Linked DNA regions of Saccharomyces cerevisiae S288C. The gene in region 1 interacts genetically with each later gene. Each region holds a gene or a part of one and is shown on either strand. Other genes may lie near its edges.

Region 1 (7,766 bases):
CAAGAGCAAGAAAAAAAATGGGGGAAGAGCGAATAAGCAATGATTGTTATCTACATAAGGGGTAATTTGGCTAGTTTCTAACTGTCATCCCCATGCAGCCTGTCAAAGACTGATATATGCAGTCAAGAAATAAAAAACAAATTGCAATAAGCTCTCCACTATAGATGGCACAAAAACAGGTTAATAACAAGTAGTTATTACATTCCTCAACGAGATGAGCCAACAAGCAACCAATAGTGCACCTACTTGTCTAACTTTAATTGAGGTTGTGCTCACAAGAAATGTTTTGCCAGGTATCTACCTCAATTGAATAACAACCGCAAAAGCTTTAGTACTAAATTGTCTCTCACCTTGTCTTCAAGAAAAGGGGAAGGTAGATGAGAGAGAAGTCTTGCAATTTTTCTCAACCTTTCAACTCGAATGGAAATCAGGTTGTAAGGGAAGCAATGAAATGTCAGCAAACAGCCACTGACTGTAATTCTTTTGTTGGAGTAAAAATCAACTATCATCTACTAACTAGTATTTACGTTACTAGTATATTATCATATACGGTGTTAGAAGATGACGCAAATGATGAGAAATAGTCATCTAAATTAGTGGAAGCTGAAACGCAAGGATTGATAATGTAATAGGATCAATGAATATTAACATATAAAATGATGATAATAATATTTATAGAATTGTGTAGAATTGCAGATTCCCTTTTATGGATTCCTAAATCCTCGAGGAGAACTTCTAGTACTTTCTACATACCTAATATTATTGCCTTATTAAAAATGGAATCCCAACAATTATCTCAAAATTCACCCACTCTTCATCTTTGAAAAGATAATGTATGATTATGCTTTCACTCATATTTATACAGAAACTTGATGTTTTCTTTCGAGTATATACAAGGTGATTACATGTACGTTTGAAGTACAACTCTAGATTTTGTAGTGCCCTCTTGGGCTAGCGGTAAAGGTGCGCATTTTTTCACACCCTACAATGTTCTGTTCAAAAGATTTTGGTCAAACGCTGTAGAAGTGAAAGTTGGTGCGCATGTTTCGGCGTTCGAAACTTCTCCGCAGTGAAAGATAAATGATCTACTATGATGAATGACATTAGCGTGAACAATCTCTGATACAAAATCGAAAGATTTTAGGATTAGAAAAACTTATGTTGCCTTCCTTCTGAAATTTATTTTTTGTCACTATTGTTATGTAAAATGCCACCTCTGACAGTATGGAACGCAAACTTCTGTCTAGTGGATAACAGAATTTTTCTATGGCCAATTTATTCTTTTTTTTTTCCCTTTTCTTAATGTGCGTATCATTGCCGGGTTTGAAATTTCGAAATTAACTACTAAAAATTACCGCTTTAATGTATGGAATATGTGTATCTTGCTAGTTTTGCGTTGCCCTCGCGATATCCCTATACGCCCACAGTGCAAACACAGTAGAGCTTTGTGATAATACTCGCAAGGAATACAGTACATCAAAAACTTATTACACAGGCTTTCCAGTGCACTCACACCCACTTTACTGTTTTTTCTGCTTTTTTTCTGCTTTTTTTTCTTTTTCTTTTTTTCATCTTACTTACTTGAGCCTAGATAATAGAAGATAGTAAGTTTGGCAGAGCCCAGTCACAAATACAGATTAACCTCTAACAAAGTCCACATCGACACCGTTTCCAACTTGATATCATAAACTTTGGATATTGTATTAAAGTTACCAGTATCACTTTTAACAAATTTTTTTTTTTTTTTGGCTATGCTCATCGTTGCCTGAGTATTCTTTAGTCATTTCCAGTTTCTTCAATAACAAAAAACATTAGTACGCGTTTCTATAATTAGGTGAAAGCATAAAGTTTTTAAAAATGACCGTATTACAACCACCATCTAGTGTTTGTTATCCGCTCAACCTCCCTATTGTACCGAATCCCAATCTGGATGAAGCAACAAGGAAGAAGCTCACTTTGGAATGCAGAACTGGAGCTGCAGTAGAACTAGCCCGTTCAGGTGTTTTTGTCCATGGTGGGCTCACACTACCTTTAAATCTGACTATTATAAATTCATTACAACTGCAAAAGGAGCTAATTCTATATTTTGGTAAACAGAAGGATAGAAATGCTGATTTTAAAACATTAGCTGATTGGATAAGCCCTGAGATATTTTTCCTTGATTTAATTTCCAGAACATGGCAAAGAATAAATACTACAATAGATACTACATCAGAAAATGAGTTGAATAACGGCTTAAGCTTTAAAGAGAGATTGTTTCATTCGATGTGCTTCACAGAATCCAACATTTACATTTTCGGTGGGCTTATGGTGTCGCCTCACAACGGCTATGAGCTGATAGCAACAAACGAATTATGGAAATTAGATCTTAAAACAAAGTGCTGGTCTTTGATAAGTGAAAACCCTCAAATTACAAGACGTTTTAATCATAGTATGCACGTCCTAAATGAAAATAACGAAAATCAAGATACGAAGCTAATCATTGTAGGTGGGTTAGATAATATGGATATTCCTGTTAAAAAAATTGATATATTTAACCTACGTACAAGTTTATGGGAGTCAGAATCGAAATCGGACGAAAACCCAGCTTCAAAGGGGTCGTCAAAAATACTGGTTAATATTGATGGGATGCCAATTTCTTTATCTCACGATTCCAACTTCTCAGTTCTGATTGAAAATAATCAGGCAGAAATTCCGACATTGGCATTATATTACCCTCAACGCGAGGCAAACACGTCCAGAAGGGGAACCGACGATGGTAGTTTCTCTACTTACGCTCATGATCTAGACGACAAATCCAAACTACCAAAACATCACCATCACCATCATGGCGATCTTAAGTATTTTGAAAGCGATGATGCAGATGAAAACGCAGTAAAAACACTTATGTCGCCTATCGTAATTTTGCCACTACTTGGAAACTCTCAGGGCGCTAGGATGACATCAAACCCTACACAAAACAACAAAGAAAACTCTATTTTACAAGTACCTTTTCACTTGCAGTATCCCTCAGGTAATTACTTTAATTATAACATTGTTGTAATAGGATTTTATCCAGACCCCCAACCTTCCAATCTTCATTGTTTCATTTATAATATCGCTAGTGGAAAATGGATAAGAGTAAACATAGCATGTACTGAGTGCAGTATTAGTATGCATAGATTTTGGAAGCTTCTGATTTGGAAGTCTCATCATCAAGCTTTATTACTTGGTACCAGAACAGATGATTTTTGTTCACCTAGCGTTCAAAAATTCGATCACATTTTATCATTCTCTTTACCAATGTTAAACGGCTATAATAAATTAGTGAATACCAAACACACACGCACTAATAATGGCATCGCTAATAGTCATAACTTAAACGTAAATCTAAGTCTTTATGATCATCTTCCATACTCTAATTCATCAACGATTGAGCACACAAATCCATACACAGTAACTCAAGGATATTCCTTAGACGACTCAGGGATCCCCCGCTTGACTTCGACTGCGACCTCACAATTTGAGAACTATTCCAGATATATAACTGTACCATTAGAAATGGAATCAACTAGTTCTATATTTCCGCCATATGCTATGGTTTTAGGTAAAGATGCTCTAGAAATATTCGGCAAGACTTTATCTGATTTCGAATTTATCACTGCTGATGGTGATTCTATCGGTGTTCCAGTATATTTATTGAGAAAAAGATGGGGGAGATATTTTGATTCACTATTATCAAACGGCTATGCAAATACATCTTTCAATTATGAGTTTAATGGAGACACTTCTAATATCATAAGTTTTTCACCTCATACAGCCTCAAAAACTACCAAGTTTGGTAACTCTAGTCAATCATCCAACGGATCCCTAGAAAAATACTTTTCTAAAAACGGAAATAGTAAATCGAACAGTAATACAAGTCTTAAGAAACCACATAGCGTAGACTTTACTTCATCAACATCGTCACCCAAGCAGCGAGCCATCTCGCATAATAAACTATCTCCTTCAGAACCGATACTTTGTGCGGATGAGGAGGACAGTCGGTCAAACACGTTAAAACAACATGCAACTGGAGATACTGGCCTGAAAGAAACAGGCACCTCGAACAAAAGGCCGATATCCACCACTTGCTCTTCTACAGGTATGGTCTTTAGGGTTCCCTTTCAGGACATGAAAAATTCAAAGCTGGGGCTTTCAGAACAGTCTGGTCGCTCTACTCGAGCAAGCTCTGTTTCACCTCCTCCGGTATATAAAAAATCAACTAACGATGGTAATGATAGCAATTGTACACTTTCCAATACACCTTTAGTTTATAGGCGAGCTTCCACAGTGGGAACCACCACGAATAGTTCGGTAGATGACGGCTTTTCATCCATTCGGAGAGCCTCACACCCTCTTCAATCTTACATTATAGCCAAATCTTCACCCAGTAGTATATCAAAGGCTAGTCCCGCGGAAAAAGCTTTCTCACGTAGAAAATCATCCGCATTAAGGTTTATAGCAAGTCCAAATCAGTCGCGACAGACTTCATTTGCATCTACTGCCAGCACTGCCTCTGTTGTAAGTTCTACTTCAGGAAGAAGGCGCAACTCTAACCAAATTTCTCATTTAGGAAGCTCTGCAAGTTTACCAAACTCGCCTATCTTGCCTGTGTTGAATATCCCATTACCCCCACAAGAAAAGATCCCACTAGAACCACTACCGCCGGTGCCAAAAGCACCCTCAAGAAGAAGCAGTTCCTTGGCGGAGTACGTTCAATTTGGTAGGGATAGTCCAGTCGCGTCAAGAAGGTCTTCTCATTCCACCAGAAAATCGAGCTCCTCGGATGCAAGGCGTATCTCTAACTCTTCTTTGCTGAGGAATACTCTAGATTCGCAACTGCTAAGTAATAGTTATGGCAGTGACATTCCTTACGAAGCAAGTATTCAAGAATATGGCATGAACAATGGAAGAGATGAAGAGGAAGATGGGGACAATCAAGACTACGGCTGTATCTCACCTTCCAATATAAGGCCCATCTTTTCCACCATTAATGCAATCAATATAAACGGCAATTTCAAAGAAGGTGAATTTTTTTCTTCAAAATCATATATTAATAATGAAAAGAGTAGAAGACTTTCTTACATTTCAAACCCTGAAAGTGTAGAAAGTACAAATTCGAACAATAACGCCATAATCGAGTTAGAACCCTTATTAACCCCGAGATCATTGTATATGCCTTGGTCGACCGCCTCTGTAAGAGCATTTGCAGAGTTCTTTTACACCGCACAAATTAATGGCAAATGGCTATTAGCTCCTGTGACCCTGGACCTGCTTATCATGGCTAAAATATACGAAATTCCAATTTTATACGAACTGATTACAGAAGTGCTGTATAAGATAATCAGCAAAAAGGAAGAAGGTCTTTCAGTTACTTGCGAAGCACTACTAAATCTGTTCCAGCAAAAGGTTTCGAGATATTGCAATGAAAATGAGGGCAAAATAAGAAAGCAGTTGGATTCTAGCGAATCATATCAGGACACCTTAGAGATAAAACGTTCCCTAGCCAATATAGACAACGGATACGTTGATTCATATCTTTTGCGAAACACTTCAATGGCGCAATCAATACACTACACGGATGACAGTAATGGAGAAACCGAAATAGATATGCACCACACGGGAATTTCTAGCATAGGATCGCTTGCCAATAGGGCTGTTCCTACTGTTTTTGCCGGTGGTCCTAGAGACAGCCATAATTCGATTGGTTCAATTGCATTCCCCAGTAATTCGGGTGTTCAAAATATTCGCCGCTCTGTGTCCTTATTTAGCCCAGCGACGAAGAAGAAATCCAGCTTAAGTAGGGAAACAGATCCATTAGATACCTCCGATCAATTTACTGATGATGTTCCTGATAGTGGACCAGTCAGCCGGCAACAGAACTTTCCAAGAAGAAGTAGTAGTTTTACTGAAACAGTTCCCACAGAACCTACGAGATATAATTACCAAAATTTGGACTCTAGTAAGTCAAACAGAGCTTCGGACGATAAAGAGGAACAAAACGAACAAGCTACGCTCCAGGACATTTCGAACTTCGATAAATACAAGGTTGAAACGTTGCAAAAGAGAAACAGCAACGATGGGAAAGATTTAGACCGCACTAATGATCCATTGAAGAACAGAGGAACAGAAATACCTCAAAACTCATCCAATTTAGAGACAGACCCGTTTATTCGTGATAGTTTTGATAGTGATTCAGGTTCTTCCTTCCGCTCTGATTCTGATGACCTTGATTCACAGCTAGGTATTTTGCCTTTCACAAAAATGAATAAAAAATTACAGGAGCAGACATCTCAAGAATTTGATGATTCTATTGATCCTTTATATAAAATAGGATCCAGCACTCCAGGCTCTTCAAGATTACATGGATCATTTTCCAAATACATTAGACCTAATTCACAAAGAGAAGATGGTTCGGAATATGTTAATATATCTAGCCTGGAAAATATGGTCTCACCCAATGCACTACCACCTGTCGACTATGTCATGAAGTCTATTTATAGAACTTCTGTATTGGTTAATGACAGTAACTTGATGACGCGCACGAAGGAAGCAATCGAATTATCCAAAGTCTTGAAAAAGTTAAAAAAAAAGGTATTACAAGACATTTCACAAATGGATGACGAAATGAGAGAGACTGGAAAACCAATTTTTGCACGCGGATCTTCTTCTCCTACTCTAAGTAGGCAGCACTCTGATGTCGCGACACCGTTAAAACAGCAAGAAAATACAAGACCAGCTTTAAAATTTGCATCAAGTTCCCCGATCTCGGAGGGATTCAGGAAATCGTCCATCAAATTCTCACAGGCGCCTTCCACTCAGATCTCACCTAGGACTTCCGTTACAGATTTCACTGCATCTCAACAACGGAGACAACATATGAATAAAAGATTCAGTACTCAGACGACACATTCCACATCTGCTCTATTCATGAATCCTGCCTTTATGCCTTCTGCAGTGAATACTGGACGTAAGGAGAGTGAAGGGCATTGTGAGGATAGATCAGCGACTGCCAACAGAACAAATAGGAAAGAAGACGCAACTACAAATGATAACGATAATATTGCCCCATTTCCTTTTTTCGGTAAACGAAGATAAACATATTAGATAATATCCAGATAAAGCAAAAAAAAGCACAACTAAAACAAGGTATTATGACAAAACAGGTTTCAGTTATAGATATTTATAGACGTTATAACTTTGGTATAATAGAAGAATTTTAGAATTTTAGAATTTTTTTTTTTGAAAACCAATACTTAAGGAAGTATTGAACTTCACGGATGCCAAAATTTCCTCGTCAAATTAAAACAATTTTTTCATACCAAGTCATGCGTTACCAGAGCCAACCCAGGTGAGACTGGATGCTCCATAGATTCCAAGATTTACGTAAGAATTCAAAATACAGCCTCAGTTATTAATAGTTAAAGCACCGCTATAAAGGTGGTGAAAAAGGCCACGGCACAATCCACATCGACCCAGGAAAGCATCTTACACAAACTTTGTGAAAAACGCCCCGGATAACTAGAGTTATTTTAAAACACAGATGTTACACATGAACTATAACCTATCCTCATCGACTGTAATAGTTGATGGGGATTTTGAAATAAAAAAATGAAAAGATCAATGACAAAAAAACTACAGCGAAACGAAATAAACCTTCTTCAAATCGACAAGAACACTTCTATTTATATAGGTATGAAAAGGAAAAAGTGAAAAAAAAATTTCTCGACTGCTTACAAGGTGCC
Region 2 (3,119 bases), on another chromosome or scaffold:
TGCAAGCAGGAAGGGTATGAACGTGAACAATCTTTCGGAACATCTACAGAACCTGATATCAAGCGATTCAGAGCTGGGCTCGCGCTTGCTATCATTGCTGCTGGTTAGCAGTGGCAACGCGGAGGAGCTCATTAGCATGATAAATAATGGCCAGGATGTCTCGCAGTTTAAGAAGCTCCGCGAGCCGAGAAAGGGGAAGGTTGCCGCAACAACAGCAGTTGTTGTAAAAGAAGAGGAAGCTCCCGTGAGCACTTCTAACGAACTGGATAAGATTAAGCAAGAGCGGAGAAGAAAGAACACAGAGGCGTCGCAGCGGTTCCGCATTCGCAAGAAACAAAAGAATTTTGAGAACATGAATAAGCTGCAGAACTTAAACACGCAAATCAACAAACTTCGCGATCGTATAGAGCAATTGAACAAGGAAAATGAGTTTTGGAAAGCAAAGCTCAATGACATTAACGAGATTAAGTCTTTGAAATTGTTGAATGACATTAAGAGACGGAACATGGGCAGGTAGCCCGCGAAACGTGCGGGCCTGATGTCTTGTTTTTCCTCTCCAACTTCGATTTTTCGATTTTTCCGTTTCTTTACCTAGCATATATATACACACATCTATCTACATATAAATATATATATATGTATATTTATTATTTATAGCATTGCGCGTGAGACAAAAGCGAGATCTTTTCGTCCCACTCCGCATTGATCAAGGACCGTTTATATTCCACAGACTCTATCTCGCTGGGAGAGCACCATCCTATAGTACGAAAGTTTGTAATAACTCGAGCGTACTGAGCGTCTTCCAGTTGTTGTTGGCGGCGTAAAGACTGCGCGGCTGCAGATGTGACGATAAATCTCTCGGAATCTGGGCGGCTAGCGGGACATACTGAATGCGTATGTTTGTCTCTGGGCATACTGTTCCTTCGAAAGAAAATACTCGAGGCTTTGGCAAGAAAACTGAGTTTTTCTTGTTCTGCCGGAACGCTAAGGCTTCCAGTTATGTCTTCGCGGCCAGATTTTCCTTGGTGTAAGATTGCAGATATTGCGCTCACAGAACTACGGTGCCGCCGACTTTGAACGCGCGGGCTGGACGATGATGACGATGACATATCTAGAGCCTTGGATAGGTCTCGCGACATGGAACTGTCGTCGTCGTCTTCATCATCGTCGTCGTCGTCGTTCCTTGAGGCGTCTTCGACTAATGACGGAGCATGGATGGCGCCTGCGCCATCTCGCGATAGTGTCATGTACTTGTGAAAAGCCGCCGAATCGTCATCCACATCATCATGTGGACCGAGCAACGAGGGCAGCAGACCATCTATAGAACTTCCTCGCGAACACGGTCCTGGCTCTACACCTGGTCCTTGTTCATCATGAGTCAAAGTTTCCGTAGCAGTCACATCAACTGGTAGTCCGACGCCTAGCAAACACCTCGTGCCACTCATTACCGACCACAACACCTCCTTGCGGTGTTTATCCGCTATGCTGGCAAGACGGAATCCTACATTACCTTCTTCAAACGGGCGTCTCGTTTTTTTCCCTGTGTTTTATGTCGTAGTTTTCCCTCAAAATACAGGCACGTACCCCATGTATAGGGGCAAGGGGGTGGGGGGTCGGCTCTTAAAGAAAATCTGGAAACTCCGCATTTTTGTCCTGCTCAAAACATTGGTCCAAAACCCTACCAATAACCCTAAGAATTTAGTAGATTACCCTCCCGCTCCGAGTAGGTCCTGTAATTAGGATCGGCGCCAATATTAAAACGTTTAACGGTACCGCACCCACACATTACCGAAAGCGCTCCGTCGGATGTGATTTCCAGTTTTTTTGGGGTCCATAACAACCGATGGCATTTTTTACAAATTGTTCTCTTTATCGTAGGAAGCAGTGATGTCTTGGTTTTCTTACTAATTAGGTCCATTGATTTGATATAATTGCGTGCCAAAGGCGTATGTGCGTCTGTTCTTGCTTTCTGTCTTGCTCTTGTTTGGTAAGCGGATATTTGGTAGAGGTAGTTTAATCTATGGAAATGGTCCTGGTTCGCAATCGTCCTTGGTGGCGGTACTAGCAGAGTACCATTTTCGTCGATCTCAGGTTTCATCTTTCCTCCGTGTGCTTTCTTGCCCATCTTTTTGCTTGTCTTTTCTCTGTCGGCGATGTGGGAAGGACAGTAGAAGAACCACGTATTGTTTTATTTTCTGTTCATCTTTTTTTTCCGTTCTTTTCATTTTGGTAATTTTTTTTCTTTTCCTTTCTTGAATTTATTCGGCGATATTCAGTAGAGGAGTGATCTCTGTAGCGTCATCCCCGTCTGCCTGTTGAGGAATCGACTTGTCATGATTCTTGAGTACTATGAGTTCCGGTCCGGTTGCATCCATGTGCCAGGTATTAAGTTTGAGAATGTTGAGTGCGCCCTCTTCTTCTGCATTCAACTCCTTGACAATAAGTTTCACGTTCTGAAGACTCGAGCTCAGTGAGCCGTTTATTATTACAATCTGGCAGAAAAGTAATAAAATATCGAGTAGTACCAGAAGTAGCTTGCTAGGAAACGCTGTGGGTACCGGACAAGTAAATTCCCTTATCAAAAGCATTATCACAAATCCGTACGGTTTGGAACATATGTCTCTCGATACGTCTAGCCTAATGTGGTATACTATACAGTACGCTGTTTCTAGAAGTATTAGGCCTTGGTAATATCGTATGGCTTTGTTTATTATCATTCTTACAATAGGTGTTTCTAACCCTCTGATGGCAAGACTTTCATCATCTTCCTGATCATTGTCGCGGCCCACCTCTAAATAGTTCTTCTTCAGGTACCTGAGTGTCAATTCCTGAATGAAATCACAGAGCGATGAAATTATCCACCCCAGGAGGATCAAGAATAATGATCCATCTTTGATAAACCTCAAGTACAGGCAGCAATAAACGAATTTCTGCAAATTCGCTATCACTGACCTTTGTCGTCCATTGTCATCTTCCAAATGCAACATTTCCTTCCGATGCCCTGCTCCTTTCCCTTTCTGTATTAGCTTGTCATCTAAGCCTTCGTCATTGAAGTATCCCTTCCCTTTCTTTCCCTGGAGAAAAGCCATATGAGAAGTTTATATTACCCGGTTTAAAGT
Region 3 (3,096 bases), on another chromosome or scaffold:
TGTATGTGATAAGCAACGTCCATGTTCTAGGTGCGTCAAGAGGGATATTGCCCATTTATGCAGGGAAGATGATATTGCGGTTCCAAATGAGATGCCATCACAGCACGAAAGTTCTCCGAATGATAATAATATACAGGGCAAATATGCAAATAAAGCACACACTGGAATTCCGTCTGACTATCAGAATGAACCAGTCAATAAAAGTGGATCCACATATGGAGAGGAACTGTCACCGAAACTAGACTCCTCTCTTGTAAATGATACAACCAGCTTGCTGCTTCCGCAACAACCTGTATTTGTGTCCGAGAATGTTGGTTCGGAATTCAGTTCTTTGAATGAATTTCTTTCTATGCTAGAAAATCCTCTATTGACTCAAACATCACTAAGTTCCAGCAGTGCGAGCAATGTTCATTTGGAAAATGGCTCACAAACCACACAATCGCCATTAGAGTACCAAAACGACAATCGTAGGGATGAAATAGGAGTGGCAAGACAAGAAAATAGGTCGCCTACTATTATGTCAGGTTCTTCCAATAGTATCTCGAAAGGGGATAAACAAGATCAAGAAAAGGAAGAGTCTCGAATTCTAGCGAATGCAAACGAAAACAGTGCACCGACACCGAAGGAACAATTCTTTTTAACAGCGGCGGATCCGTCAACAGAGATGACACCAGAACACCGGCTGAAGTTGGTCATAAATGCGAAGCTTGAAGCAGGATTATTGAAGCCGTATAATTATGCCAAGGGGTATGCAAGACTACAAGACTACATGGACAAATATATGAATCAGTCTTCCAAGCAAAGGATTCTGAAACCACTATCCACCATTAGACCGGCGTTTAGAACCATTGCGCGTTCATTGAAGGATGTTGACTTAGTTTTAGTGGAGGAGAGCTTCGAGAGGATGTTATTATCTTATGATCGTGTTTTCACCTCTATGAGCATGCCAGCGTGCTTGTGTAGGCGTACCGGTGAGATTTACAGAGCCAATAAAGAGTTTGCTTCACTGGTTGACTGCACAGTCGATGATTTACGCGATGGAAAGCTTGCGATCTACGAGTTGATGACAGAAGAAAGCGCTGTGAATTTCTGGGAAAAATACGGGTCCATAGCGTTTGATAAGGGTCAGAAGGCTGTTTTAACAAGTTGTAGTCTTCGAACCAAAGATGGAATCCGCAAACGGCCATGCTGTTTTAGTTTCACTATCAGAAGGGATAGGTACAACATCCCAATTTGCATCGTCGGGAATTTCATCCCTTTGTCATAAGCATAAGTAATACATAGTAGGTAATTGGTATTTCCAGCGTCATTAAAAAGCAAAGTAACGGGTTTACTTTTTCCTCAAGCCGCTGGCCCGAGCAGTTACTTGAAATAGCCGTATTACTACGAGCAATACGAAGACCTTTTTCTACCAGCATTTGTTTTTTTTCAAATCATTCCCATTATTACCCCAGGATCTTTTCATAATGCGGCGACCAGAGATAGGGAAAAAAACTGCGAACTGGCTGAATCTGATTTGGCGAAGGGCAGATTCTCGGGTATTTCTGTGAGGGTGACCGCCGTTGATATATATCAGTGACTTTTGGGAACCTTTATCTCATTTATTCTCAAGATAGAACTGTAACGAGGGTGAAAGAAAAAGAACTGTAAGATGACATCTATAGATAATAGACCTTTGCCGTTCATATACCAGTTCACAGCCGGTGCCATTGCCGGCGTCTCGGAGCTATTGGTGATGTATCCATTGGACGTGGTGAAGACAAGAATGCAATTACAAGTGACAACCAAAGGTCATCCCGCTGTTGTTGCAGCGAAAGCAGCAGTAGATCACTACACGGGCGTGATGGATTGTCTTACAAAAATTGTGAAGAAGGAAGGATTTTCGCATCTTTACAAGGGTATCACATCGCCTATATTAATGGAGGCTCCGAAAAGAGCAATTAAGTTCTCCGGAAACGATACATTCCAAACGTTTTATAAAAAGATTTTCCCCACGCCCAATGGGGAGATGACTCAAAAAATCGCCATATACAGTGGTGCGTCCGCTGGCGCCGTGGAAGCCTTTGTCGTCGCGCCTTTTGAACTAGTGAAGATTAGATTACAGGATGTGAATTCACAGTTCAAGACACCCATTGAAGTTGTAAAGAATAGTGTTGTGAAAGGTGGTGTTTTGTCACTTTTCAATGGGTTGGAAGCCACTATCTGGAGACACGTTCTTTGGAATGCCGGTTATTTCGGTATAATATTCCAAATTCGGAAGCTTTTGCCGGCGGCTAAAACAAGCACGGAAAAGACCAGAAATGATTTGATCGCAGGTGCTATTGGTGGCACTGTCGGGTGCTTGTTGAATACACCATTTGACGTGGTAAAATCTAGGATCCAAAGAAGTTCCGGGCCGCTGAGGAAGTACAACTGGTCCCTGCCTTCAGTGCTGTTAGTTTACCGTGAGGAAGGGTTTAAAGCATTGTATAAGGGATTTGCGCCAAAGGTCATGAGACTTGCCCCCGGTGGTGGGTTATTGTTGGTAGTTTTCACGAACGTCATGGATTTTTTCAGAGAAGTCAAGTATGGTAAAAAACAATGATCCTGACGCTTTTTATTTCATTTTGTTGTAGCCCGCCCATACATGTATACGTATATATATATATATATTTATTGGAAGTAAAAGTAAAAAACTCGCTTACCTAGCACATGTTTAAACAAGCGTTGAAATGAAGGAAATAATGAAAGTCTAGTTTTGTCTAGCGATAAATAGTGTTAATTAAAACAGCCTTTTACAACTAAAGAATATTTATATAATAATGATGCCATATACCACACATGGGAAAACAAATATATAAGGGGGAAGTGGGAGGATGAAAAAAGAGTAATGAAAATACTAGTAGTACCAGGTGAGGTAAAACAAGCACGTCCGTCCCGCTTTCACCCTGGAGAAATATATCTAGGAAGATATGCATGAGAAGAGGGAGAGAAAGGAAATGCTAGATTAAGGGAAAGAAATATGACAATATTAATGAGAAACATCCATGCTTGCACAAATTAAGTCCAACTTGTTGATTAGTGAGGGTTTGATCTTGTTCTTGTCCCGGTTATCTT

What was found.
Region 2: mutations in PMD1 (region 1) and YIR016W together harm fitness more than expected from each alone (negative genetic interaction), as found in Saccharomyces cerevisiae (2 studies listed by BioGRID).
Region 3: mutations in PMD1 (region 1) and ODC1 together harm fitness more than expected from each alone (negative genetic interaction), as found in Saccharomyces cerevisiae (2 studies listed by BioGRID).

What each region holds. Positions count from the first base shown.
Region 1 is NC_001137.3:424,541-432,306, reverse strand, and holds PMD1 (Pmd1p), read left to right. Parts: upstream 1-1,857; coding exon 1,858-7,119; downstream 7,120-7,766. UniProt on the Saccharomyces cerevisiae protein: Negatively regulates early sporulation-specific genes. Seems to exert its function by positively regulating the Ras/cAMP pathway. Required for growth under alkaline conditions. Acts synergetically with MDS3.
Region 2 is NC_001141.2:380,954-384,072, reverse strand, and holds YIR016W (uncharacterized protein), read right to left. Parts: upstream 1,446-3,119; coding exon 648-1,445; downstream 1-647. Other genes in the region: MET28 (Met28p), read left to right, coding at 1-517; ribonuclease P protein subunit RPR2, read right to left, coding at 1,691-2,125; VLD1 (Vld1p), read right to left, coding at 2,259-2,987.
Region 3 is NC_001148.4:298,059-301,154, reverse strand, and holds ODC1 (mitochondrial 2-oxodicarboxylate carrier), read left to right. Parts: upstream 1-1,651; coding exon 1,652-2,584; downstream 2,585-3,096. Other genes in the region: gluconeogenesis transcription factor RDS2, read left to right, coding at 1-1,267. UniProt on the Saccharomyces cerevisiae protein: Transports C5-C7 oxodicarboxylates across the inner membranes of mitochondria. Can transport 2-oxoadipate, 2-oxoglutarate, adipate, glutarate, 2-oxopimelate, oxaloacetate, citrate and malate.